7 linked regions of the Zea mays genome follow. The main gene of each other region encodes a partner of the protein of the gene in region 5 in a complex. Links are inferred from orthologs where the notes say so. Each region holds a gene or a part of one and is shown on either strand. Other genes may lie near its edges.

What was found.
Region 1: Mediator of RNA polymerase II transcription subunit 23 (region 5) and uncharacterized protein LOC100276155 share a complex: the UniProt entries of both Arabidopsis thaliana proteins name them as parts of the mediator complex. The link is inferred for Zea mays from reciprocal best matches to the Arabidopsis thaliana genes AT1G23230 and MED9.
Region 2: Mediator of RNA polymerase II transcription subunit 23 (region 5) and mediator of RNA polymerase II transcription subunit 18 share a complex: the UniProt entries of both Arabidopsis thaliana proteins name them as parts of the mediator complex. The link is inferred for Zea mays from reciprocal best matches to the Arabidopsis thaliana genes AT1G23230 and AT2G22370.
Region 3: Mediator of RNA polymerase II transcription subunit 23 (region 5) and Mediator of RNA polymerase II transcription subunit 32-like share a complex: the UniProt entries of both Arabidopsis thaliana proteins name them as parts of the mediator complex. The link is inferred for Zea mays from reciprocal best matches to the Arabidopsis thaliana genes AT1G23230 and MED32.
Region 4: Mediator of RNA polymerase II transcription subunit 23 (region 5) and Mediator of RNA polymerase II transcription subunit 28-like share a complex: the UniProt entries of both Arabidopsis thaliana proteins name them as parts of the mediator complex. The link is inferred for Zea mays from reciprocal best matches to the Arabidopsis thaliana genes AT1G23230 and AT3G52860.
Region 6: Mediator of RNA polymerase II transcription subunit 23 (region 5) and Mediator of RNA polymerase II transcription subunit 33A share a complex: the UniProt entries of both Arabidopsis thaliana proteins name them as parts of the mediator complex. The link is inferred for Zea mays from reciprocal best matches to the Arabidopsis thaliana genes AT1G23230 and RFR1.
Region 7: Mediator of RNA polymerase II transcription subunit 23 (region 5) and mediator of RNA polymerase II transcription subunit 14 share a complex: the UniProt entries of both Arabidopsis thaliana proteins name them as parts of the mediator complex. The link is inferred for Zea mays from reciprocal best matches to the Arabidopsis thaliana genes AT1G23230 and SWP.

What each region holds. Positions count from the first base shown.
Region 1 is NC_050097.1:1,837,529-1,841,689, reverse strand, and holds the start of uncharacterized protein LOC100276155, read left to right. Parts: upstream 1-1,361; 5' UTR 1,362-1,526; intron 1,527-1,677; 5' UTR 1,678-1,712; coding exon 1,713-1,973; intron 1,974-2,606; coding exon 2,607-2,669; intron 2,670-3,144; coding exon 3,145-3,225; intron 3,226-4,161. UniProt on the Arabidopsis thaliana protein: Component of the Mediator complex, a coactivator involved in the regulated transcription of nearly all RNA polymerase II-dependent genes.
Region 2 is NC_050100.1:126,532,858-126,537,120, reverse strand, and holds mediator of RNA polymerase II transcription subunit 18, read left to right. Parts: upstream 1-1,463; 5' UTR 1,464-1,853; intron 1,854-2,047; 5' UTR 2,048-2,057; coding exon 2,058-2,093; intron 2,094-2,860; coding exon 2,861-2,960; intron 2,961-3,033; coding exon 3,034-3,091; intron 3,092-3,159; coding exon 3,160-3,516; intron 3,517-3,618; coding exon 3,619-3,721; 3' UTR 3,722-3,985; downstream 3,986-4,263. UniProt on the Arabidopsis thaliana protein: Component of the Mediator complex, a coactivator involved in the regulated transcription of nearly all RNA polymerase II-dependent genes.
Region 3 is NC_050101.1:142,578,410-142,582,382, forward strand, and holds Mediator of RNA polymerase II transcription subunit 32-like, read right to left. Parts: upstream 2,520-3,973; 5' UTR 2,401-2,519; coding exon 1,957-2,400; intron 714-1,956; 3' UTR 501-713; downstream 1-500. UniProt on the Arabidopsis thaliana protein: Component of the Mediator complex, a coactivator involved in the regulated transcription of nearly all RNA polymerase II-dependent genes.
Region 4 is NC_050103.1:84,916,337-84,919,931, reverse strand, and holds Mediator of RNA polymerase II transcription subunit 28-like, read left to right. Parts: upstream 1-1,127; 5' UTR 1,128-1,273; coding exon 1,274-1,463; intron 1,464-1,897; coding exon 1,898-2,010; intron 2,011-2,775; coding exon 2,776-2,910; 3' UTR 2,911-3,095; downstream 3,096-3,595. UniProt on the Arabidopsis thaliana protein: Component of the Mediator complex, a coactivator involved in the regulated transcription of nearly all RNA polymerase II-dependent genes.
Region 5 is NC_050100.1:213,163,240-213,166,173, forward strand, and holds part of Mediator of RNA polymerase II transcription subunit 23, read right to left. Parts: intron 2,698-2,934; coding exon 2,454-2,697; intron 2,385-2,453; coding exon 1,631-2,384; intron 1,174-1,630; coding exon 992-1,173; intron 1-991. UniProt on the Arabidopsis thaliana protein: Component of the Mediator complex, a coactivator involved in the regulated transcription of nearly all RNA polymerase II-dependent genes.
Region 6 is NC_050097.1:165,234,306-165,238,521, forward strand, and holds the start of Mediator of RNA polymerase II transcription subunit 33A, read right to left. Parts: upstream 2,801-4,216; 5' UTR 2,653-2,800; coding exon 2,333-2,652; intron 1,701-2,332; coding exon 1,590-1,700; intron 853-1,589; coding exon 508-852; intron 1-507. UniProt on the Arabidopsis thaliana protein: Component of the Mediator complex, a coactivator involved in the regulated transcription of nearly all RNA polymerase II-dependent genes.
Region 7 is NC_050097.1:176,292,247-176,295,863, forward strand, and holds the end of mediator of RNA polymerase II transcription subunit 14, read right to left. Parts: intron 3,321-3,617; coding exon 2,275-3,320; intron 1,799-2,274; coding exon 1,000-1,798; 3' UTR 501-999; downstream 1-500. UniProt on the Arabidopsis thaliana protein: Component of the Mediator complex, a coactivator involved in the regulated transcription of nearly all RNA polymerase II-dependent genes.

The sequences.
Region 1 (4,161 bases), on a different chromosome or scaffold from region 5:
TTGCCCTCATGTAAGAATTTTGCCCTCATAACGATCACGCGTCACCTAGTGTGTGTAGGCATATACTTTGTATGGCGCATTGTGCTGCCTTCCCCGGTATACGGGTCACTGTAGAGGCTCCAGTGCTGAGGTTTTTTCTATGACTGGGTTGACTGACCCCACATGGCAGTGGGGATACGCCTTAGAGCGTACGTGGTGGCGTTCAGTCGTGTCGATAGTGACCTCCTGGCGCCCCTTCGGTACGTTGCACATATGTCCGGACGTGGGTTGATGATGACGCGTCTTGTCGTAGCCATCACGGGTTAATAGCGTTAGGTTGGGACCTCCGCCTCGTATGGTTGCCCAATTTGGAGTTGGTCGACCGCTCCTCCTCAAAGGGTTGCTCAGTGGGGAGTTGGTCGGCTGCTCTGCTTTGCGAGGTTGCTCGTCGATGAGTTGGTCAGCCGCTCTGCCTCTCGACGAGGAATTGGTCGTTCGCTCCATCTTGCAAACTTGCTCGACGGAGGACTTGGTCGTCCGCTCCGCCTCGTAGGCTTGCTTGGCAGAGGGTTGGTCGGCTAATGGGCCGGAAGGAGGTTGTGGGCTTACTTTTGGTTACCCTGTTCCTAGGTACATGACAATTTACATAGTAGAGTTCTATTTGGTAGAGCTCTTTTAATGGCCCCTCAACAGCTTCTTCAAAAAGGCTACCAAATGGTGGGCTCCTCTCGTGGCTTCTCCATAAAAATAGGAAGGAGATGTCCCTAAAAACCGAGGAAAGCCCAGAGCCTAAAAAGGAGGCTTCTCTGACTCGACTCTCTCTTGTCACTCACCCTCCCATGAAAATAGGAGTAGTTGTGTTTTAACTAAATAGAGTGTTCTCCAAGGGTTACTAAAAATAAGGATCAAACTATTTTTTTCAGATGAGCCAGAAGGAAAGCCGGTGATGCAAAAATCCTACCAAAAGGGAGCCTCAGAAGAGTCAACCCACTTTATAATAGTACACATATTCAAGTTTTAAAATTATATATAACCTTAAAAATCATCTATATATTTTGAGCTTTTAAAGTGGGCTAACACGAACCCTACTAGATGTTAGTGTCGGCATGACATGATTAGACACTATAGTGCCGTGTCTAGACAATAGTACTAACACATCACGACACATTTACTAATAGTGTCTAATAACACCATTAATGCTGGACAGACAATCTATTTAGCCATCTATAGATGAATAAGGTTAAAAAACACTATCTATCTCCTCTCGTATCTAATATCTATCCACTATTTCAACTCCAACGCTACAAACAAAGGTATGACTATCGTACAACAACAGTTCTTTAGACGGCCATATCAGCTGGACACAGCCACCGTACTCCGAGATTAGCGCCCCCGTCGGCCAAACAGTACCGGACTGGCCGCCGTTCACAGTTCACGCCCCGCGTGGTCCCTATTTCCCGGCGAGCACTAGGCTACCGCCGCCGCCGTCAGGTGCCGGTGCCCAGACCTTCGTCGTGCCCATTTCACCGGCGACGAGCACCCACTAGGTATGCCCGTCCCTCCTCTCCCCTATCTGCTTTGCGAAACCGAGCACTCAAAACCTAGCTTAAGAATCGGATCTGATTCAGGAGTAATTGCAAGTATATGCATGTATTATTATGCCTACTAAATTACTAATAACTTCGATTTTTCCAATAGCCCCTGCCCGCAGGTGTTGGGAACTGGGGATAGAGATGGATCACCACCACCCGCAGCAGCAGCAGCAGCAGTACGGCGATCCTTACCGTGGGCTCATGACGTCCCCGCAGCCCGACCACCACCTCCACGCTCTTCAGTACCATCAGCCGCAGCCGCAGCAACAGCCGGCGCTTATGTCTCCACCGCAGCCACAGCCAGCACTGATGTCTCCACAGCCGCAGCAGACACTGATGTCTCCACCGCAGCCGCAGCAGCATCACCACGCCTCTCTTGCCTCCCACTTCCACCTCCTACATGTAAGTAACGGAGTGTTTGGAGTTGTGTGGAGTTTTGTGTTTTGGGGGCCTTTGCTCTTAGTTTAAGATAGCATAGATGATACATACCCTCAAATGAACCCTTCTTTTTGTAGTGATGTCATTGATGTTGTTGGAGTGTGCCCTTTGTGCACCGGAATTTCAAAATTCTGAACTTGGGATTTTGCTAGTCATTAAAGATTGTCATTAATTTGTCCTGTATTTGTTGCTCAGCGATTGCAATTTCTTCACACCATGATTTGTCACTTTGGCCGGTAGTGAAGATTGCCATATTATAGGTGTACATGAACGATATACAAGCGTCAGAGCGTGCAACATTGGTAATGGCCAGAGAAAATGTTGATTCTAATCACTCGAGTTGGTTTGACAAGAAATACATAAATTAAAAATATATATGAGGGCACTTTAGGTATTGTAGGTTTTCTTAAGCTGGCAATCACATGTCTGTATTGGCATCTAACATTTAGGCTTATTTCCAATGGCTTTTTTGCAAGTAGCAAATCTTTGTTTCCACTTTTATGATGGCTCTTCTTCCTTTTACTCTTTGAGAAAGTACTAGAATGTATTGTGAAATACTGATAGTTTTCTTCTTTGCATAATTTTGTTCTCTGTTAGTTGGTTACAAGATTAGCCGATGCTATTGGTACAGGAACAAGGGACCAAAATTTCGATGCACTGGTAAGAATCACCATTTACTAATTTTCATTTGTTTTATGGATCAATGTTCTTGTACTCATAGTGCATGATCTTGTCAGAAACAATAGTTGTAGCTTCTTCTAGGCGTGGAGCCTGAATATTCTTATACAGAGTTTGAATTGACATGTGATGTAATTCTTAAATCACTTCCCAGAGAAGAGACAGGTCACAAACAATGCTCTAGTGTTGGTGGTGCACAGGAAGCTTGGGACCAGCCCAGGGTGACAGGGTCTGCACGGTTCAGTTTTCCATAGCCAAAACCAAGCCAGTGGAAGACATACCCTTAGTTATGCAATTATGCAATTGCAGAAGCATGTTAAAATTACTACTATGTATTGTGTACTTCCATGCTGATTTCTTATAGAATACCAGCTAAACACCATATTTTTCCCAGCGTTTTGCTAAATCCTAATTCCAATAGCTACTGTATTAAGAGAAGCTTTTTATATATATCTAGGTTGAAGAATTGACCAGCCAGTTTGCTAGGTGCCAACAATTGTTGAACTCCATATCGGGAACAATAAGCTCAAAGTCTACTGTAAGTTCTGTTACTTCTCTTTCCTGACTCATATGCTTTATTCTTAGTGGTCTTCTGAATTTGATAATAATTACTAAGTTAAATTGAACTATTCTGGCTAATGAATCTCAATTACTTTGTTTTGGTATCCAATAAAATTTTCAATTGCACAAGAATTAAGAATTTTTTCCAGAAATGGATAATAAGACGGGGTATAGTAGATCTGTTGCAGGTTTTTGTGTTGTCTCATAAAATGTCTATAAATATTCATGTCTCTAGGCAAATCCTTTTAAAAAGTTAATTCACATTTATTTAAACATCAACAGGAGCATTGCCATATTATATAGAAGGCATGGGACTAAAAGGCTTTCTTTGGGACTGCCCCAACTTGATTGGAGCTAAAAGGCTTTGTTGTTGCCAGAAGCACTAGCATATCATATAAGAACTCAAATGTGCACGGTGCACACATGTTGTCCTCATGCTCAAACACGGATGAGGCTGCCCAAGCAGTCTTGGAACGTGCCTACTGAGCAACTCACACACATAGAGGCTTAGTCCCCTCTGATGAAAATCCCGTGTGACACCTGAGTCGCCCCAGTCAGGGATCAAACTCGGGTAGTAGCGCTCGCACGGTCGCACCGAGCGGCCTTAGTGCCTTACCACTGACTTACTGAGCCATTGTTTTGTTTTCTAATTCACAATTATTAGTTGTTAAGAGTGTCTAAAGTTTGGCTAGTTTTGGCAGTTTTTACTGCTGGGTTACTAGTACGTAATAACTGATGTTACTAGCCAGTAGGGACTGTCGGTTTAGTGGAGACCGGCATGAGCTGCCTTCCTTAAAAAGCCCTAGTTTTCCAGTTGATACCGGTGTCAGTGCTGTCATTACGATCTACAATATTTAGAACCATTTTAATAGACCTAATATTGCTAATTTTATATGTTGTATGGTGCTGGTTA
Region 2 (4,263 bases), about 87 Mb from region 5:
AAAGGTGAGACAGGAGCAAGATAAGATAAGTATAGAATGAATCAGAGTAAGGTAATTAGGAAAGGGTTTTGTCCATTTCTATTTAGGTTTCGTCCTACAGTCAACATTTTCTCTGATACCACTTCTGTCACACCCGGATTTAAGGAACAAAGCCGAATGCATCTCATACATGTGCCAAAGAAGACAACATATATAATAACAGAGTGTATAGAGATAAATGTCACAATAACATCAGAGTACTTATTACATCGCGGAAGTCTTACAAAATAAAAGATAAATATAAATCGAACTAAAATCCATCTTTAGCGCCAATAAGTCAACTGGGAGATGCCACCTAGATTAGATCAAACTCCTCATTGTGTGCCTCCTCCTGAACCACCTGTTCTTCTCCTATGGGGGTGTGAGACAGAAAGGGTGAGCTCACATATGATCATAGCTCAACAAGTTGTGGGGAAACTAGTGTGCATGAACTCACCAAAGGTGAGAGTTCATGTGAAGTGTAAGGCTGATCAACAAAATAAAGGTTGAAGCTGAGCATTGCTTTTATAAGTTGGTCAAAATTTTATTAGCAGTTACTAAGTGTAAGTAAATACCAAACCATAATAAATAATAGAACAAAATTAATAAGTAATCACATGCAATGCAAATGACAAATTGAATTTAAGTTCCATTAATTAATCATGCGACAGTTCTGAGCTGCTCATGACCATGAGCTCGGCTAGTATACCAGTTTTACACTCTACAGAGGCTGTACCCTGTATCCACAAGTAATGTTACCCATCTACCAAGGGATCGCGACTCTCATACACCTCTACCAAGGAAGCGAGACAGGGCAACACTACGAGGCCTTTATAAAGTTCCACTAGATTTCGACTTGCAAGAATCCCCCGTCTGACCGCCATCGCAGCAAAATCAACCGAGAACCTCTCTGCATGTAACTCTCTTACTGCCGTTGCCCCTTTCGGGTAAGGTAGTTTTCCACTAGCTTTCCTAATTAGTTAGTCAAGGGGTCTCATTCCTCTCTTGTGGTGACACATGTTTCTCAAGTTAAGCTCTATGTTCCAATTAAAGATAATAATCTTGACATGAATAAAAATAAAATAACAAAATAATTGGAACATGGATATAATGAAATATTAACCCAAAACCATGTAAAGAAATAGTAAAACTATCAAGTGATTTAGGAATAAAAAGGTAAAGTGATAACATATCTAGAGTAACCTATTAGGTCTTATCAAAATTAAAATAAAAAAAGTGACAAATAAGGCTGAACAACCCCCGCACCGCGACTAGGCTGAACAATCCTGACTCAAGCCCACGGTTTATCTTTTCTGTCCGAGATCACCAAATTTTGATACTTTTTTCGTTTTCGCTATTAACCAAAAAAACAAATTTCAGTCCGTTTTAAATGGATTTGATTCAAAATATAACAATATAAAAAATAAAAGATTAGTCAACGAAACGAAATTTGGATCATTCCAAACGAGACTGTGAACTCTCCCAGCTCAAGCCCACCTCCCTGCTCAAGCCCAGCCGTCCACTGCCTGGCTCCCTCGTCCGGTCGTTCCCGTCTCCCTCCTCGCGTCGCGTCCACCATTGTTCCTGTCGACGCTGCGCCGCACGGCTCGCACCGCCGACAGTGCCTCAGTCCTATCGAGCCTCCCTCTTCCCAGATCAGGCCCTAGCTGGGCTACAGCCGCCGCCGCCGCTGCCGCATCCGTCACCTTCACACCGCGTGCGCGCGCGCTCTCTCTCTCTCTCTCTCTTTGCGACGACTGGACGGGCTACCGCAGTCGCCACCATAGGCACCACGCCCTTCGCTGATCTATTCGCTGGCGAAGAACGCTCTCAATGTATTCCCACTCCCACCCCCTTCTTCTCTCTACCCGCTGTGCGAAAACGAGTTCCCGAACTCTAACCTAACTATTTGATGTCTACTAACTTCTAATTTTGTTTTTTACTGCCATACTGGTCCACCCCTGATACACATATAACAAATCCACTAACGTGATTCTTTTTTTTTGGGTGCAAAATCATTGTGGGACAGTAGAAGATCGATGGAGTGCGTGGTGCAGGGAATCATCGAGAACCAGGTATTGTGCCACAATGCAAGTTGGCACTGATGGTTTATGTAAAATTTGATTTTCACGCATTCCACTAACATTTGAAAGATAGGAGCTCTTTCATCATCGTTAGTGCAGTCTATTTTGTTATGCAGATCAGACATTAACTTTTCCTCTCACTGCTTGCATCTAGATTTGATAAGTATTTTGAATGGTGTATAGATTGTTAATATCTATTTGTAAGTATATACTTATAGTATTGAATTTGTTGTTGAACATTTCGTTACTAATTGAATTCCGTTGCTGTGGACAAAACAATCTCATATTGATGTACATGTACAGTGCACAATGTTGAGCTTACGCACCATACAATCTAGCTTCATTTTAGTGTTCAGTTGAGCTCCCTTAGGTATGGCCACTATCCATAGTTGCCAGTTGGTGGTCACTTTTCTGTTTACTCCATCACAGATAAATACTAACAAAAGTTTATTTTATTGAAGTGATAAATAGATAGATCATGTAGACCACTAAATGTCAACAATTTATTCCGCGCTTTAAGGCACTACTTCTGGAGCTTTTGATTTCATTTGTTTTTTTTCTTCTCAGCATGTTAACAGAATAGTAACATTTAATATACAGTTGGGGGAACATATGATCTATCCTTGTGCTTTTACAATAGAGAGGAACTTAATTTTTTGGTATGTTCTAGTTTATGTGTTGTGCACAGAATGTAAGTTGCTCTTTGTTGTACTGCTCTGCCATTAGTTTAACCTTTGTTTGATCTTTCCATTTTGCAGCATGTCGATGCTCTTGAGGTTCTACTCCAGGGACTCTCTGGTGTCCCGAAAGAGCGTTTTAGGGTGCATGAGCTCTGCCTTAAAAGTGGGCCCAATCTAGGTTAGTTTGTGATTAGTCTACTCCTCCATTCCTACACATGTGGCGTATTAACTGACGTCTTGCAATCATACAGGTGTTGTCCCATCGGAGGTTCGTTTGTTGTGTGACTTAGCTCAGCCCACACCATCCTGGTAACCGAGACAAGCTGCTGAAAGTCTACCTTTTGTTATGTTTATCATTAATTGTGACAAGATTGTAGGACCATAAGACATGTTGGTGGTGCCATGAGAGGTGCTGGTGCGGAGCAAATCTCAGTTCTGGTTCGTACAGTTGTGGAGAGCAAAGCTAGCAAGAACGTCTTGCACTACTTCTACACCCTAGGGTACAAGCTAGACCATGAACTCTTGAAGAGCGGTTTTGCATTTCGTTTCCACCGAGGTGCCCAAATCACTGTCACTGTTACATCTGCTAACAAGATGTCAAGGCTCCATGCAACCGATGAAGCTACGCCAGTCACTCCTGCCATACAGCTAGTGGAAATCACAGCTCCTGCTGCTGCTGATAATTACAATGATGTTGTTTCAGCTGTCACTGCGTTCTGTGAATATCTTGCCCCGTAAGTACCCCAAAGCTTGAATTCCGAGGCAACAATCAGAAAACATATAAGAATGAACCAAACACCTTTTTGGTTTTAATAATCCTTGGAAATCTGCTGCAGGCTGCTGCATCTGTCAAAACCAGGACACTCGACAGGAATCGTTCCAACAGCAGCCGCTGCTGCTGCCTCACTCATGTCAAGTGGCGGTGGCAAAACCTTGTAATGCTGCTAGGACAGCCAAAGTCCGTTCTTGCTGCTAGGACAGCCAAAGTCCGTTCTTTGAGATGAGTGGGCGTGGCTAATGAGGTGGCCTTCTTCGTGCCGAGCATTTGAGCAGTCAGTTTTGCCTGCTAGTGTTGTCCATGTCTGACACATCGTTGTGCCAACCTTGCTCTTGGTTTGACTGGTTGCATGATTGCTGATGGGTAATGCCCTGCCTTGTAGTTGCAGGGTGTAACAATCTAGTATTACCAATATTAAAATTTCTCAAAAATCCAAACCATAATTTCTTTTCTCAAAAAGAAGTTTATCTCATGTGTATATATTTTTCAACTAGGTGAGTGCCCGTGCGTTGCGACGGAAGTAAAAAAATTGTATGAAATATATAAACGGAACGACAAATATCATTATGATATGCAAAATCCGTATGGTAAACATTATCAATATTAGTGGCATGTCCTTTGTGGAAAGACCACCCATTAAAAAGTCATTGATGCACCCATCGGTCGAGACGTTGACAGGAGATTAGTATGACACTTAAGATTG
Region 3 (3,973 bases), on a different chromosome or scaffold from region 5:
GTTCCAGGTCTTAATATATTCTTAAATTAATCGACCAGATACTCAGATCCTTTTCTCACATGATACGGAGTAGTATCATTCAGCATGTTACATTTATCAAAGTCCGGTATACTTATGGAGCTAATATTTTATCTAGCTCTATTTTCTGAATTTGGCATTGGTTACAACCTTTAAAGTTTCTGTACAGATTATCTCATTTCAGCTCTATTTTTTAGGTACACTGCTTATATTGAGTCAGTGGCCAAATTTTAACAATCAGTTGTGGTCTTAATCCATGTTACTGTTGTTGGTATGATAATGCACTTTGCTCACCATATCATCTATGTTTTTGGTATGATAATGCGTTAACGCGTCTTAATCCATGTTGGATGTAAACGCATGTTTTTTCTGCTAATGCTTCCTCTGTCCCAAATTATAAAACATTTTGGCATTTCTAGGTTCATAGCTTTTGCGTATCTATACATAATATATTTCTAGGTGTGTAGCAAAAACTATTGATCTAGAAAAGCCAAAAAATCTTATAATTAGAAATGGAGGGAGTAGTTCATAGTCCTCAGCCAATTCTCTTGAGTGCAGCCATCAAATTGTGAAATTGTACTTTGTCTACAGATCCTATAATATCGATACAAACAGATTATGACATCTCCACATTTCTGCTTACTTCCAATAGTTTATCAGCATACTGTCATGTAGCATAGTCAAATCTTTTTTTTCTGCACATAATAGATTAACATACATTTGAGATACAGTGATGGGCATATCTGGTTTCTTGGTAACCATCTTACTAAATTACTGTTCAATTCAGTTCGTGCTTTTGTGAAAATGACTAGTGAATATACTCTGAGAACAATGAAAACCAGTACTGCTTTGTTAACTCAAATATCATGAATCTGTAGGGACCATAGCAGTGGTGAATAAAACTTTGGATCTATAGAACGATAAAGGAACTAAGGTGCTGTTTGGTTTATATGTTTGTAATGTAATAGGTAACAAATAACGTTAAATCATGTTTGTTTAAGTCCAACTGTAATTGGATACCACACTACAAATTGATACCAGCCTATTCAAACTTGTTACCCCTGGTAATCGAATGCAAATCATTACCGTTACCATTTACGTTACATTTTAGGAACCAAACGGCACCTAATTTAAGTCGTGAGTTCGAAGCTCATCCCTTTCCTAGACCCCACTCGTGTGAGAGCCTCCAGCACTGGATCAGCCCTTTTTTAGTTTTTTTGTCTATCTCAAACCAGGGATCCCAAGTTCCCAACCTTATCTCTTCACTCAACAAAAGAGTTGACTCAAAATCAAAAACTGCAACAACCAATCCCCATACACTGGCTGGTCCAAACAGGTACAGACTTAAAACTGGCGCAGCATTATACCCCCAGGTTTTTTTTTTCTGGTCATCATGTAATTAGATCTATATACCTCTCATGCTTTGTCACGACACTATAATTTTTTTTTATGGAGAGCAGCATTTTAGCAATCTGTGTAAAGATTGGGCAATAACCAATGGGCATAAAGACATTAATGCTGAGTAGTAGTATATCTCAAAATGGAAAGGTAAAAACAACAGCCAGCAAATCGCAATGATTTAGGTGCTGTTTGGTTCAAAAAATGTAACGCAAATGGTAATGGTAATAGTTTACGCTCGATTACTGGCGGTAACAAATTTGAATAGGCTGGTATCAAATTTTAGTACGGTATCTGATTACGGTTGGACTATAACAAACATGATTTAACGTTATCCATTACCCATTACGTTACAAATATATGAACCAAACGGCACCTTAGTTCATGTTCTTGCAAATATCAACACGCAAGGTTAATGCTGTCACTCATAGAAACACAGCAACGACAAGTTCTTTGTTTTCTATTGAAGGAAAAATGCTACAATTTTCATATGAGAAGGGCGATGCTACTAGTTTAATTCAGTAACTCCATAGTCCATACCTACTGGGCACCCTCCTCCGGGTGTTGCCCTCCAGCGCCGGCATTTGGGGTAGCGGCACCGCCACTGCCGCCGGTCCCTTGAGCAGAGGCGCCGTGCTGGAGCTCGATGACGAGCCATCGGACGGCCTTGCTCATCTGCTCGAGGCGGACGGCGCTGATGGGCTTGATGCCGGGGGCGGCAACGGATCCGGCGGAGGCGGACCCCGTGGCCTCGTCGACGAGGCACTCGGAGCCGATGCGCTGGCGGATGGACTCGACGAGCTCTTCGGCGTGGTCGCAGGCGACGCGGAAGATCTCCCAGCGCTGCTTGAAGGCCTCGAGCGCGGCGTCCGTGGCCGCCGTCTTCTTCTCGCCGCCCGACTGTACGCGGGCCTCCACCACAGCCGCCGCCGCCGCCATGAAGTCGTCGTACGCCGCGCTCAGGTGGTCCACAGTCGCCTCCATCCCTCCCTCACCCCCAGCTTCTGACGATCCAATTCGGCCTCAGCCCCCAATTCGACACGACGACCCCGAAACCGAAAGCAAAGCGTGAAAACAGGAAATGCCGAAATGGCCCAATCGATATCGGGTCGAGATCAGGATGGGCCTTTTTATTCGACATACGCATCTGGACCAGGGCTAGAGATTGTAGGCATGGATTTTTTTCTAAAAAAATAATATTGTTTTCCCAGACCGTATAGTAAATAAATTCTAAAAATTACATTATTGGACGCGTGTTGTTGGGAAGCTCGCGATCAATCGTGCGGACAGAACGTAGGAAGTGGCGGATCCAGAGCTACTATACGTGGTCTTTTTTTTACAAGACTCTCGTTTATCCTAATTGTTTTAGAATTAGAATCATCTTTCTTCTGGTTCTTGATGAAAAATTTATCCATCCTATTCTTATAAGCATGGGATTACTACCAAATAAATAATCAAATCAAAATTTCAAATCAAACTTAAAGCAAACAATAGCACATGTTTCACCTTCACTGCTTGTCTGCTTCACAGATCACAGCTTCACCTTCGTTGCTTCTGCTTCGCAGTTCGCATGGGACGTCCTATTCCTGCATGATCTGTCACAGATTAGCAGAAACTCTCTTGGCCTCCTATTCCTTCATCGTCCCAAACTCCCAACAGAACAAGGAACCCCCAACAGAAAGCTTGGAGGGGCATTGGCACACGCCGCACACCGCGCATGGCATTATGGCAAGGCCATACATCACTGGCTGTCTGGCTCATCACTCCAATGCAAGAACAAGCTAATAGCTAAGCACACTTTCTTCTCAGCGCGTGTGTACAAACCTGAGCTCCACGAATTAGCAGAAGGAGGGAGCGCGGAGTGGCGGCTGGACAGCGGCGTGGTCAAGGCGGTGCTCCGGGCGGGGCTAGCGGCGGTGTTCCGGCGGTCCGGCCTCCGGGCGAGCGACGCTGCGGGTTGCAGCGGTGCTCCGGGCGTCGGGGCGTGGGCGGTTGGAGGCCTGAAGCTCGTGGGTAGAGGGAGGAGGAGCGACCTACGACTGGGAGGCTGTTCACGCGGTCGCGCGGCTGGAGCTGATGGGCTTATTCGCTGATTTTTGGGCCGCGACCGGGCTGCAGCCCAGGCAGCCCCAGCCTCGGTTGGAGATCCGCCACTGAATGTAGGAAGAGCTGAGTGGTGTGTTGGCTTACTGCTACGATTGTCCCTATTGATTGTGACTCTGATTAGATAGTTCTAGACATGTCATCTGGCTTGACATGTAACCAAATGGGTGTGTTATTATCAGTGAATCACTCTATTAATACACAATACGTAGTATATTAAACGTTACCGTACATTGAAAGCAATTGTTGGGGGTAAGCCTTTGCAGGAGGTCCTTAATTAAAATCAACTAATCTTAACCACTTTATCATTTATTCCGAGAGCAACCAATTCATGTTTGCCGAAGGTCGCTAATGCAGGTTAAAAGAGGAACAGAAGAAGCTTTGGCTTAAGCGTGCAGATAAAGCATGTCGCCAAACTCGAAGCGAATGACAAGAAAACGAACAAAGGACTCAC
Region 4 (3,595 bases), on a different chromosome or scaffold from region 5:
AGGTACCTGAATTTTAGTTTTTAGTGTGTTGTAATTTATATAGACATAATCTACATTTTTACTCTTAAGAATAAAATATCTATTGAACAAAATCATAAATTTGGTAGATTTTGATTTGTGTTGACATAAAGACCATTAACATTTTGCAATTATTTTAGTAGTTAGCTAAGGGAAAAAATATAGGTTATAACATAAAGGTAAACAATAAAATTATAGTCTTAGACCCCCTTTGGACCCTTGGAATTGAATTCTAATATAATAATTGTAATTTAGACATAAATCAATTAAACTAATATGGTTTTATAGTGAGTATATTTGTATATTAGTGTTGGCCATATTTGAGAGATATTTATATGTTACATTTCTACTATAGGAGAGTGAGTAGAAGAGTGTGTTATAAATTACAGAGTAGAAACGTAGAATTGAATACATAAAATCAATTTCCACCCCATCTTATGAATTTGAGATGAGTTTATATCTAAACTTTGGAAAGTGGTGTAATATCAAATTCAAATCAAATAACCTACTCTATTAAATACTCCCTCCAGTCTTTAAATACTTGATGTTTAAGTGATTTTCACTTTGGATGCAAATACTTGATGTTGAAGCATTTGAAGCTTATTTTGGACTAGCAAATGCTTGATGTTGAAGCATTTGAAGCTTATTTTGGACTAATATACCCTTGATATAAGTGGTTCACACATTCTTCCACATATGCTTAATTATTCTTATCGTGAAGGTTTGATCTCACGACCTAGTGTAAAATTCTTTAGGACCCAACCATCTAGGCTAACATCTTCATGTGTTTGTTGTGGAATCTAAGCGTATTTATTAGGGGTATTATGGAAAATAACAACCCTATTTAATAGCTCCTTGGTATATGAGGTCATGTCCAAAACATCAAATATTTGAAGACTGGAGGGAGTAAATTCCAATTCTTTGAAAATAAAAGGATCCAAATGGTCCTTTATTAGCAATCAGTGGTATATAAGAGTGTTGCCTAAATTTTAGGCACCAAAATATGAAGAAGTGTGCTATTATAAAAAAGAAAAAATATTTCAGAAAATTGTCAGCCTGAACAAACTATGCGCTTTCCTTCAGCCAAGGCAGCCTCAGCCCTCGAGCCTATGCCTATCCAGGCGCAGAACACGCCATTTGTAAACCAATCCTAGCCGTGCGTCTTCAATCCAACGGAAAGTTCCTCCTTGTCAATAGCAAATCGGAGGCCCAAGCGCTCCCAATCTCTCCGGGTCCTCTCTCCGCATTCTCCGTCATGGCTGAGCCGACGCCGTCGCAGTCGCCAGCGCAGACGCCGCCCCCGCCGCCGACGCAGCAGACTCCCGCGGCGGGTGGGCTCGAGGACATGCTGGCGTGTGTGGCGGCGCTGGAGGCCGCGCTGCTGCCGTGCCTCCCCGCGCGCGAGCTCCAGGCCGTCGACCGCTCCCTCCAGTCCTCCCACCAGAGTACGGCCGACCCCCATCATTTCCCCACTCTCCTCCTCTAGAGGTAGCTTCACTTTGATCCGGCACGGCTTCGACACCAGTAAAGTCTCATGGTGTTCGGTCGGTTAATGGCGCCGTCGCGCGCCACATGTTCGTTGTTTTGCCTACGGGATGGATAAAGGGATCTTGCTCTTTCTAGAGGAAGATTTTGCATCTTTCTTGTGCCCAGGAAATTGTATATCGATTGGTTTCTTAGGTCCTAGACTGAGAACTCAACTTGTATCAACTGTACCAATCAGGCAATCACATTGCAATGCTTATTAAAGAAGTAAATCACATTTTTAGATACCGACTTAATAGTGTGCAATGCTTATTAGAGAAATTTAATTGCATTTTCTCATTCGTTCCTGCCAAACAGGGTATCTAAGTGTTGTAGTCTCTACTAAATTGGGCAGTTGATGTTGAGAGGCACGCAAGGGATTTCATGGAGGCTGCCAAGAAGCTCCAGTCTTATTTCATCAGCCTGCAGCGTGAGGAACCGCCATCTGCAGAAGAGATGCTTCGAAAGGTATATTTCTACTTTATCCTCGTATAGTTAAGAGTGCGGCAAGGATAGTAGTTAAATTAAATTGGGGACTGGTTATGGAGAATGAATTAATTATAAAGTGTTTGGTTTGAGGAATGAGCTAGTCCATCGTCTTCTCACTTCTCTTTTTTTATTTGATTTGTGGAATGAAATAAGGAATGGAGTCATTCCTTATAGTTAGTTAGTACTAATATGAGAAATAAGGTCATCCCAGCAAATTTGAGGAATGGACTCATTATACACCACATCATTTTGGATTGAGTGACTCCTCAAACCAAACACTCCCTTAAAAGTTTTCATTGGTGATAGGATTGACATTTCACATGATATGATCATCCCAAGTACTGTGATCATTTGTGGTTGGCACTATACTTAGGAATAGCCAACTTTATAAATCACATAGTGCTACTTGCTACAGGCAGTTTGTTACACTCAGTATAAGCTTTATTACAAAGACTCCTATATTTCTACTCGAAGTTGAGGTGTTCATTATTGAAAGAACTGGTAGCCTGCCTGAATCGTCACTTCTACAAAGTAATGTTCCCAAGGAACACCCAATCACATTCATACACCTAACACCTTCTGTGCTCATGAATTTTTCATGCACACGTTTCTGTAAAAAAATGCCTTTGCAGTAGTTGAGAGAATCACAGGTGCATAGTTGCTGGTCTTAATTAGGAATTTGGGATACATATACCCACCCAATATTTATCATCTCGTTGGCATGTTCGGTTTTGCATTGCACAGGAGATTACGACAATGGAGGAAGAGTTGAAGAGCAAGTCTGAGCTCATTGCCAAGCACAAGAAGTTGATTGAAGGGTGGCAAAAGGAACTGAAGGAGCAGCTGAGCAAGCACATCACGGAGCTTGAAAGGGTGTGAGGAGTGCGATTCTGCGGTTTACCTTGTAGTGATCATGAACCTCTAGGTGACCAAATGTTATGTTATGCCCTATAAAACTGTGTACATGTGCTTAGAATCTGACGCCATGGTTAGCAATCGCCTTTTGTTGGTTTCTTAAGGTTGGAAGCCACGAACAAAGCCCACTTTATCTATGTTTGATTGTGTACCTTTACTTGCCCCATGGTCTCTGTTGTTGTGCAAAATGAGTCTCTGCCATCATAAAACGACATAGAATGCTAACGGCTTCCTGTCTTTATGGGTAAACTTTGGGTGAATTTATGGGTAAACTTTGGGTGAACTGTTGGAGTCAGCCTAGCGGGTTATGTGCCTACTCTGGATGGCCGCCATGTTCGCAAGTTCCTTTCTATCTTTACTCCATTTGTGCCTGGATCAGCTCGAACAGAACCTTCTCCTGACAAAAAGCCGAGCCAAGTGGCACAGTTGCTACGTTGAATACACGAGCAAGCGAAAAAAAACACTTTGTGTTTTATCTCCGTTCCTAAAGGTGCACTGCCAGGTTGTTCAGTAATCCACTACTAGTCAAAATCTTTCTCAATCCATTTCAATACACCTTAATCCATATGATTTTGCTATAAAATGAACAAGACCTAAGGACATAATCCTTGTCATCACAATTCATATGGATTGGAGATAATTGGATGAG
Region 5 (2,934 bases):
ATGACATCATCAGTAGTAGTGGCAGAGTTAGTGCTCCTTAAGCAGAAGAGGTAGGCAAACGATTGCTTTGATAGACTAAATCTTGTATTTATCTTAAGAGTAGGTGCATATGTCAGCACCTTACATTCTTAGCTCCCTTTAGCACCTACATTAGCATAATAGCATCTACTTTAGCATATATATCTGCATATGCTGAAATCTCTTAGTTTTCAAGTTTGCTTCGCTACTTCTATATATACCTAAACCTGCTATGTTTTTGCGTAATGGCTTAAATGAAATATAAAATCTTGTCCCAAAACCTGTGTCTATCCCTAGCATGCTTTGCCAATAAGCAGCCGGTCAAGAATGAGGTATGGATCCAACTGTTGTGACATGTGGTGTTGTGAGGTGGAGTAGATAGGGTCTATTTGGACCTAAGTGGCACACTAAGTTTAGGGACCAAGATAACAAGCCGAGACAAGCCTCTGAACCTAAAAATAACATTTTAAAAAACTGGGACCTCGACGTCACACAAAGACAGGCTTGAGGACTTAAAAATGCATTTTCGGAGTTTGGGACTTGAATGACACCCTGGAAAATATATGTAAATTCTGACAAAAAATGCTGGAATGATGCTAAATGATGAACATAAACTTGCAGCAGTTATTGAGGTTGCATTGCAGGTACAGCATATGCTGATCCAATTCGAAGTGACTAACACCTTGCCATACAAAGCTGTTGACTTTAAATTTAGACCACTTACAAGCTCATAACGTAAATCTAAAGTAAAACTGAGACTAGCTCAGATAGTCAAGGACAGTGGATGTATCTCTGGGGCTCTGGGCCACACAAGTTCAAGTCCTCATCAAGGCAAATTTCGGTGCATATTCTTTAATTATTAAATTAAAAACACCTTGTTCCTTCAAGGTTGGTTGAGCATTTAATTTAAAGGAAAAATATACCACATATTTCTAATTTTGGAGTAACTGCAAAGAGAAAACCGAGTATATACCTTCATGAACAAAGGTCGAGCAAAGGCTAGACGAGGTAACAAGGGACCCAATATGCGGAAGGCGATTCTTAACATGGCAACTGAATTGACTGGCCGAAGGTGTTTGATGACAGTATGAGTAGATTCCAGCCACTCTTGTGGAAGATTGCTAAAAAAGGAATGCAGAAGGGCAACAATGTTACCTGCAACCAAAGCACAAACGACATAAGACATAATTGAGGCACTAGCATATTAAGTTAGAGTGCAGATTTTGCGCCATTGATAGCTAAAACACCAAACTGCAATGTTCCAAAAGTCAACATAAAAATCATGTATGTAATACACATAAAGTATAGCCACAACAATTCAGTTTGAAATTCATCCTAGATGCCAAGAAATAAAATAGACAAGCAGTCAACCTGACACTGTTCACCATGTGTTGATAGTGACACTTCTATTTTTTTAATCTCAACATCAAAGATGAATTTCAAACTGATTTATTGCGGCTACACTTAACTTTAGGTCTACTACATACATGATTTTTGTGATTATTTTGAAACATTGCAATATGGTATTTTAGCTAACAAGGACGCAATATAATTTTCCATTAAGTTAACTCTGATCTGATCCAGCTCATAAGACTAAAGAAAAATGTTCTACCAATGGCTGTTGATGTATTGTCTTGGGAAGCCCATGTAGGATCCAACAGTGCATATCCAACAGCAGAGTCAAGCTCTTTAACAGGCCTGGAACCATCAGCAAGCCACCAGCAGTCTTTTATGACTCGAGCTGCTTCTGAGTATAGTTGCATGTGGAATTCTGGTGGGAGTTGTGCCAGCAGAAGACCACATGCTTGAATCATCAAAACAGACAATTGTTGGCAGGAGTAACCACTCCTAGAAACAAAGTTAGTGGCATTGATGCCAGTTGCAGCACTGTTCGCTTGGTTGGGACCTGAGGATTCAGCAGCCCCTGAAGGAGAAGTTGGCAGCCCAGAACTTTGCCCCAAACCACCTGACATTCCTTGGCCACTATTTGACTGTATAAGTATTGCTTGTACATGTGCTATTATTTGGACCAAAGAGGACACTATTTGAGCAGCAGGCACAGGAAGTGAGAGAATCTCAATAGCTGCTGTTTCCAAAACAAGCTGTGTATACGACCCAGGATCCTGATTCTGATAAAATGCCCTCTGGCCATCGGTGTTACCAACTCCACCAGGTTGTGAAGATGCATGATGTTTGTTGAAAGTCGAGCGTGTTGTGTCTGCTGGGTTTGATTTCGATTTGCTACTTAAAGGAGGTATAACATTATTAACGAGGTTTAGCAACAGGTTGGCAAAGTATTCTGGTGGTGGACATATTGAAGAATTTGATGACACTAAATATTTAGCAAAAGATTCTGAAAAGGGGGTCTGGAAAAAGCTCATAGTTAGCAAGTGTTAGGCACAAAGTGTTACAACTAAAAAAGTAAATAGGTTTACCTTAGTGCTAACACCCAGCAGGTTGAGGATCCTACCAATTAGTTTGATTGGAAGATGACCATAGAAATACGCAAGAATATCACGTACAAATGTAAATCTTAGCGGGTGGAAGGCAAGCAAGGAAGAATAGAATGCAAGAACTCTGTCTGCAATGTCAGTTGCATCATTCTCAATAAGCCTATAAATAATCAGTGGAATAACAGGAAGCAGACGTGCAGCAATGTCATCGAAGAAGGGTGGATAGCTGCATCAACAAAACTAGAGGACATCAAGATTCTATTACCACCATTGAAAACAAAACAATATGTATCTCAGAAGAAAACCTCACTTTCTGTTTGGTAAGTTGACAGCCAATAGTAGCTTTATAGTTTTGGAATAGGTGCAGCATATATTACAATAATTAGTTTAAAGCTGGGTATAAATGGACAAACAAGCACTGACCACAGATAAAATAATCCTAATATGAAACCATATTGGCCAA
Region 6 (4,216 bases), on a different chromosome or scaffold from region 5:
TTGATGTTTACATTCACCCATCAGTTCATCAGATCATGACAAAGCTCGAGTCCCATGGCTGCCGTTTTTATCAAAACTTTTCTTGGCTATTTAAGAGGTAAGGCGAATAAAATACCACAAGCATAGACAGTTGTACTTTTTTCCTTTTGCATAACCCTAAGTGCTTCTAGAACATTATCTTAAATGTTTGCATTAGAGAAAATACACAGAATATTCTATGATACATTGGTTATGTTACTGGCAAAATCTTGAGCAATTATTTGTAGCTCCCCAAACCCAAATCCCACACAAACAGGAATAAACCAAGGCTTCCTCCATAAGCTTGAGTGAAGTTTATGAGGTCATGAGCCTATGAGATGAAGATCTAGTTTGTTATTTGACTAATATATTTGAAAACAGATTACTAATGACCAATCAGCAAAAAGATGAATTCATCATTTCCAAATGCTCAAAAATAAAGACCTGAAACAATTCAGTAAAAGAGTACTTCAAGTTGAAAAGACATACATGTTTTCGCGTGCCAATGATAGGATACGAGTAATTACTTTATCGCGAAGAAGATGCTCAATGAGCTCCATAGTTGTTACAGTGTTCATCTTCTGTAACTTTTTGATCTTCTCAGTTCTTTGTTCAGTAAAAGTTCCTTCAAATGTGCTCACATCTTCAGGCCTTGTTGGCCATTGAGCATTCTTCTCTGGAGTTAACTCTAGTAGGCCCTCATCATCCAGAACAACATCAATCAACTGCCATATAATACAAAGAATGAAATGCACAACAAAAACCCCTGGTTCACATGTAGAGATGCCAAATATCTTGGAAAGTCTAAGATTCCGCTCTATTATATCCATGATCCTGCAAACATTAGAGAGGCTTTAGCAAGGATCTCTTATTGCTCCAGCAAATTTAACACTGCAAGACAGGCCCTTTTTTCAATTGCATTTGAGACTTCTATAGGGATAGAGTGCATGAATAGATAACAGTGCAAGGAACAAGCTTAAAAACCACATGGAAGCACATACACTCTTACTTCCAAAAAACAATTTAAAGTTATAGAGCAATAACAGTGCAAAGTATTAGGAAGTGAAGAACATAAGTAATGTATAAAAGATATATAAGAAAATTTCCAGAAGAATTTCGGCAATAAATGCCGCCTTGACAAATTCAAGAGAAGTTGCATGCATTACTGCAAGACAAGTAGACTTTCCATCATATAAAAGTTGGGGCCCTTAGTTGGAAATGACAGATATGACCACTAATCCACTACAGAGACATCGCACAACAAGGTGTATATACATGTGTAAACCTTATTACAATTACAAACACCTGAAACTGAAATGCTTATTTTAAGGCCATTAAGATATGACCACTAATCCACTACAGAGACATCACACAACAAGGTGTATATACAAGTGTAAACCTTATTACAATTACAAACACCTGAAACTGAAATGCTTATTTTTAAGGCCATTAAGAATAATGCTAAATTACATTGAACACTACACCTATTACTCTGATTCTCATTCCAGACCACTGACTTGAGCATAGTGTTAAGAAAATACAGGGAGCAGTCAGAGAGGGGAAAGGCACACTTTCTGAAATTTGCTGCTTTCATCTGATGATGGAAGTTGAACCCATGTCTTTTCAAGAGCTCAAGGTAGAGTCTATACTCCATTGGCCTGGAAAGCCGGTGAGGAATTACCCTGCAGGACCCGAAGAACAAACGAAGTCCATAAGAATAAACATTGAGAAAAGTCCTAACTCCATCATAAGGTCACACACCACACAATCCAAGCACGTTGCACGACAGCAATACCAGCCAGTGAAATAATTAGTACTAAGTGGGATTTGCCACACGCTAATCTAACTACTTTTCCAGTCCCAAAACATAGGTCAAACTAACCGTGTTGGCTATTACAAGACCCTGTTTCTCTTGAAAAAAAAAACTGGACGAGGATTGCAGTGAAGCCCTGATTAGCCTACCGACTGAGTGTCCAACTGCTTATATATTCTTAAAACAGGCATTTCTCCCATGGTGTGATCTACCCACATTGTCATTTGGCAATGCATTGACACATGACACTGCCACACAGCGTATTTCCGCCCCCTCAAATTATCGGGGCGAAGCACGTCAGCTTCCTGGTAAAACTCGTGTACGGGCAAACACCTGACCGGACACGTCGTAAAACTGCTTGCGTGCATTCGAGGTGCAACTGATTCGATTTAGATCCCCGACAGCTAAGCGCTGCATTCCGCCATTCCGATCCTACCAACCGCCACGGACCACGCCACAGACACAACGCACAAGCCGACGCCACGAAGCACCGGACCGCACCTGGTGGAGAGGAGCGCGAGGAGGAGCGCCGGGGACGCAAGCCGCGCCGCGAGCGCGGCCTCCGCGTACTTCCAAGCGGCGGCCGCCGGGGCAGCCCCGCCACCGCCGCCGCCGCCGCCGGGGAACAGCGCTCGCGCCAGCACCTCCGCGAGCCCCGCGGACCAGGGCACGTCCTCACTCTCGCCCGCCGCCGCAGCGGCCGCCGCCACCCGCGCCGCCCACTCCGGCGGCGGGCGGGCCTCGGCCTGCGCCGCCTTGGTATACTCCGCGGCCCACTCCAGCCACGGCGCGGAGGACGGTGGCGGCGCCGACGTGGCCATGGCCGCGCGTGTTCCCCCCCGCCCGTCAGTGGCGGTGGGTGCTCCTGCCGCCGCGTGGAGTGCCGTGCCGGTGAGGAGAGAGAGAGAGAGAGGCTGCTGGAGTGGTGTCTGCTGCAGCCCTGCAGGTGCTGTGCTGCTGGGTTGGTTTGGTGGTGGTCCGATCGCCGATGATGCTGATGGCGTCCCGTTGGTGTAACCACCTCTCCCCCCAGTCCCCCACCGCACCACCTCGCGGTGGGGCCGCCGCTTCAGGATCTTCTGCGTGACCGAGCTTTCCAACCAAGAGAAAATGGAGTCGCCAGGCTACCACTGGCCGCAGCGGATCCTGGAGGTACGTGTGGTCCCACACCAAGTGGCGTGGTGGTGCCATTGCCGTGATCCAGCCCCCACCCGTTGACACGTGGTCCCGGCGCCCTTGACTTCGTCGCTCGCGGTTTGGAAAAAAGCTGCTGCTGCAGCCCGCGCGCGGCGGGCCCCGCCGACCGACCGTCCGTCCGGCAGCCCAACTCGCGGCGCGGTGGCCACGCCGGCCGTCGTCCTGTTCGGATTGGCTGGGTACTGTGGCGATGCGTCAGGCTCGGCCCTCGGAGTTGGGCCGTTGAGTTCACGCTCACCTACTACGGCGTCAGTGAGTGAGTGGGAACTGACAGTGACACAGCCTGACCACTTCACCTGCAGATATGGTACTACTTTTTTCTGTCTCGCTCTCCGCCAAACAAATCTCTCTCTCTTTTTAGTACTAGTAGGAGAAGACGGTAGGTATGCGTGTGTTCCGAATTTTTTGCATTTTGGTCCTTCATCGGAAAAAAAATCACATTTAGACCCTAGAAAATTTTAATGTCATTTTTGACCATTTACTCGGCGCCGTAGCCTGTGGCGCCGAGGTAACACAGCTCGGCGCCATAGGCTATGGCGCCGAGGTACGTGCTGCGTTGGCACAAACGAATGTCGTGGGGCCGACGTGGTACCGAGCTCGGCGCCATAGATCATGGCGCCGAGCTCTGTTCTGTATAGAAAATTTGTCTAGCTTAATTGGTAAAATACAAGACTCTTAACCTTGTGGTCGCGGGTTCGAGCCCCATGGTGGGTGGTTTTTAATATTTTTTGTCTTTGTCACTTATTTGTTTTTTTTGTCCATATTTTTCGTTTATGTCGCTGATTTGTTTGTCCTGATTTATTTCTCATCCAGTTTTATTTTTGTGACTGATTTATTTATTCGTCCAAATTTTTTTATCCAGCGAGCACAGCAGCTGTGTGCCACAGTGCTCATAAGCCGTCAACTTCTCCCCTTGTTTGCTCAGCTAACCACAATAAAAATCAAATGAGAACACTCTTACTTCAATCGTGATCAAATAAAAATATTATATTTTTATTAAGTTCTTTTGAACATAAATTTTAAATACATAATAACATATTCCCAGTAAAAAGAAGCACACATAATCATCTTTTTTTCTTCTGCACTAAATAAAAGTATACTCCATTATATACTTGTCTCATGGATGATATATTTTAGAATTTACTGCATATACAGCTGTTGTGCTCGCCGGATAAAAAAAAGCTGGAC
Region 7 (3,617 bases), on a different chromosome or scaffold from region 5:
AACCCTTTTTTTCCTCTCACGAGAAGATAGAGTAAAATGAAGATAATAAGTAACTTATGTCAGCTTCACGTGATACCTATGGAGTCCATTAAAGCACAAAAACTGACACCTGTGTCCCAAACGTAGAAGCACGAGAACTAAAAAGGCCTACCCGTATGACGGTTAACACGATTAAAAAGCCTATCCATACGCTTCCAATCACAACTCACGAATATCAGTTTCAAACAAACTGGCCAGAGTGCTCACATCAATTTCCTAACCATGAGCAAGAAATCTGACCCAACATCATCTTATCCATCCAGGTATCAATCTTGACCGGCACGGTTTTTACAGTTACAAAAACATCATTTACTAAGAAGATGCAATAGAAAAAAAAAAGAAACATTAAGAACTAGTTTGGGAACTCAAATCTTCTCCAGGAATCTATGGGGTCGAGATTTAAGTTCCCAAACTAGCCCTAAAGAAAAGCTCCAAGCAATATTTTTTGTGTCCAATCACTCTGAACACAACTAGAGATGTCCTGCTAATACTAAGACGTCAAATGCGTCAGTCTCAAGTCCAGTGCCAATATATCATGTACAACAACACATATACCAGATCCACCAATGTCTAGATTAACATAGTACAGACAGAAGAAAGATGATAACGAATCCAAAAATGAACTATCCATCAGAAAGGGAGAAAAAGGACACGATTACAGTAGATGATACAGACAACCAATTCCCGAAGATCATTTTGCATCCCTGAGCAATTCCACCTTGGCACATTATTACCCACCCTAGCTATGTTACAGGCCACGTTCAAATGGGCTAACTAAAGGTCCATCAGAGTCAACCGCCACCATTTATACTGTACAAAATTGTCATCTGAGCAAGCCTCAGGCGAAACTGTCACTGCTACCAAATGTGTATTCCTTCACATCTACACGTTAACAAAGCCAAAGGCCATGCTGAATATGACAGACATCAATGGCCTTGATAGAGCTCATTCCAAGCAAGTTCATGATGCAGTCGAGCCTGCAGAAAGTGGGTCATCTCTTAGCTGTTGTAGACAGAGTTGAAGCTGCTTTTGGATCATCTCTGCAACCATTCGCAGCCTTCCTTGGCCTACCTCTCCAGCTACACCAGACCCATTCACAGTTTCCACAGCTCTTGAAACCTTCTGCTTACATCTTTCCCACTCCTCAAACTGCAACCAGCAGGCTCTCCCACCATGGCTCCCATTCATAGCAAGGAAAGCTATATGATTGTTGTCCCCAAAAGAATAGCGAAGTTTCACAGATACACAATATGGAAGCCAGGCAGCTCCTCCAGCTACATTCATGTGAGGAATAAGAGCATGGTCAAGTACAAATGTCAGGGCAAATTCTACTGAACTGTGGGCTCTATCATGATGAATATTACTCTTGGCTAAACTGCTGTTCTCGGTGTTATCAGACGAAGCTGATCCTGAGTGATTCTCCAAACAAAGCTCGATGCGAGCCCTCTGTGCAGTAGCAATGTCCCCATGAACCGGGGAAAGACCTTTCTTCCATGTAATCAGCTTTAAAAACTCGCGCAGAACCAAAATTGGTAATGTAAGCAAAGTGATAAAAGAAGCAACTCTAGAAGCATCATATGGTTCGGAGGCAACACGTCTGCTAAAGTAGTCACATATTTCATTGATTTCAACTGCTGCTAGCTCTTCCTGAGCATTGCTTTGAGCCTGCTGCTGCTGTTGCTGGTGGTGAAATCTTTTCACACTCAAAACTTGTAGAAGCAGTTGAACCCGATGTACACTTACTGCAAATACATATCCTCTGCAATTATGAAATCAGGTACCAATTTACTAGCAATCCCAAATGAAAATACTCAACTCAGGAAAAACAAGATGAGTCATTTTGAACACCAATTTTTCATCTTATAAGGCTAGCCTAAGCTCAACCAATTATGAGCTGATAGCATCAAATTAAATAAAAGAACACCACTTATATTCAGTAAACAATTAAGTATAGTCTTAAGGAATCAGTAAATATTTGACGCACACTAGTAACATGTAATAGATGAATGAATATATAATCCGAAGAGCAGCAGATATAAACAAAGTACTATTTCCAAAAGAAGGTCAGGGAACTCAATAGCGCTAAGCACCAAAGCTTCCATGCACAATAGAAAATTAAGGATACTTTCATGTAGATCCTCAATCTTAATTGCGCAGCCAAAAAAAAATGAATAGCATTTACTTTAAATATGATGCTAGAAAACAAGGGATACTTGCCAGTTTATATTTTCTTACCCGACATAGAACCGGAGTGCAGGCTGCTCTTGATCCAAATTCAAGAGAGCACCTTCATTGTCCTTTAAGATTGATCCTAGTATTTCTTTCAAAAGTTCAGGCAATTGTGCAAACAACCATAGAACTCCTAGGTACTTTAGGATCCCTCTCAGCACCTTTTTAAGAGCTGCCAAAGGAACCCAGCCACCACCATATCCACCGTCATCCCCCAGTCCTATGAAAGCTGTGTTTAGTTCACCTTTCATGTGAACAGGGAGACCAGCTCCAGCAGTAAGTCGCACAGAAGTTCCACTAATACCAGAAGCAAGAGCCGAAGAAGCCAACATGGCATTTCCTGCTCGACTCAAACTGGCTGCTACATGGTTAGCAACACCAGATGTTGGCCTGACCATAGAAACACCAGGGGTAGCATTTAAACGATTTGCACTAGGAGCAGTTTGTGGAACTCCTGCATTGTTATTTAAGTGTCCACTAGCCTGTGTAGCATTCATGAAGTTGGGTTCAAGAGCATTTAGACCCTGAGCAACATGTTCCATTATGAAAGGCCGGAACTGTGGGCATGGCAACGATCCACCAACTGAAGGTCCACCTTTAGGAGGAGTAGCTGGCTGGAGCCAAACCTGATCCCCAGCAAAGCAGCGCATGTCAACAGAAAATTTCTTGCGATATATAATGCGTATCCAGTATGGCCCACGAAGTACAACCGAAACATCAAAAGGCAGTAATGAACTGGGAACAAGCCCAGGTCCACCGCGTCCAACAGCTGAAAGCATGGCAGCAGCATGAAGGTTATGACTGCCTAAATGGGCAGATGCAGCATTTGAGGGGCCAGGTGCGTGATGTATAGTTGAAGATGAACCATTTACTAAAGGCCCTTGTGTGGGGATGTTCGGCTGTTTTGGCATAGAGCTATATCCAGATGAGACAGCAACAGGCATCCTTGCAGGACGAATTGCACCTCCAAGGGCAAGTAATGGTCCTGCTGTAAGCCGAATGCAATCCAAGAAGGATGCTACCTCTCCACCATTCACGAAATCCTCCAGAAACTGCATTTTTGCAAATATTGATTATGAGATAGCTGGCAAATAAAGGTAAGCTTTATTGCAAAAAGCAAGATGATTGAGCAATCTCACAGAAACTTTCTGCTTAAGCAGAAAGCATAAGCTTTTGTACTCGGTTTCACCTATTTATCAACAGATACTAGTGAATTGATGGAAGCCAATTGGAATGATAATGACCCATCTGCCACTGCCAGCAAAGCAGATCACAGGAATGTACAGTGAAACAACAAAAACGCCAGCACTCATTTATACTTCCAGACTATGAAATATTGATCCATTATT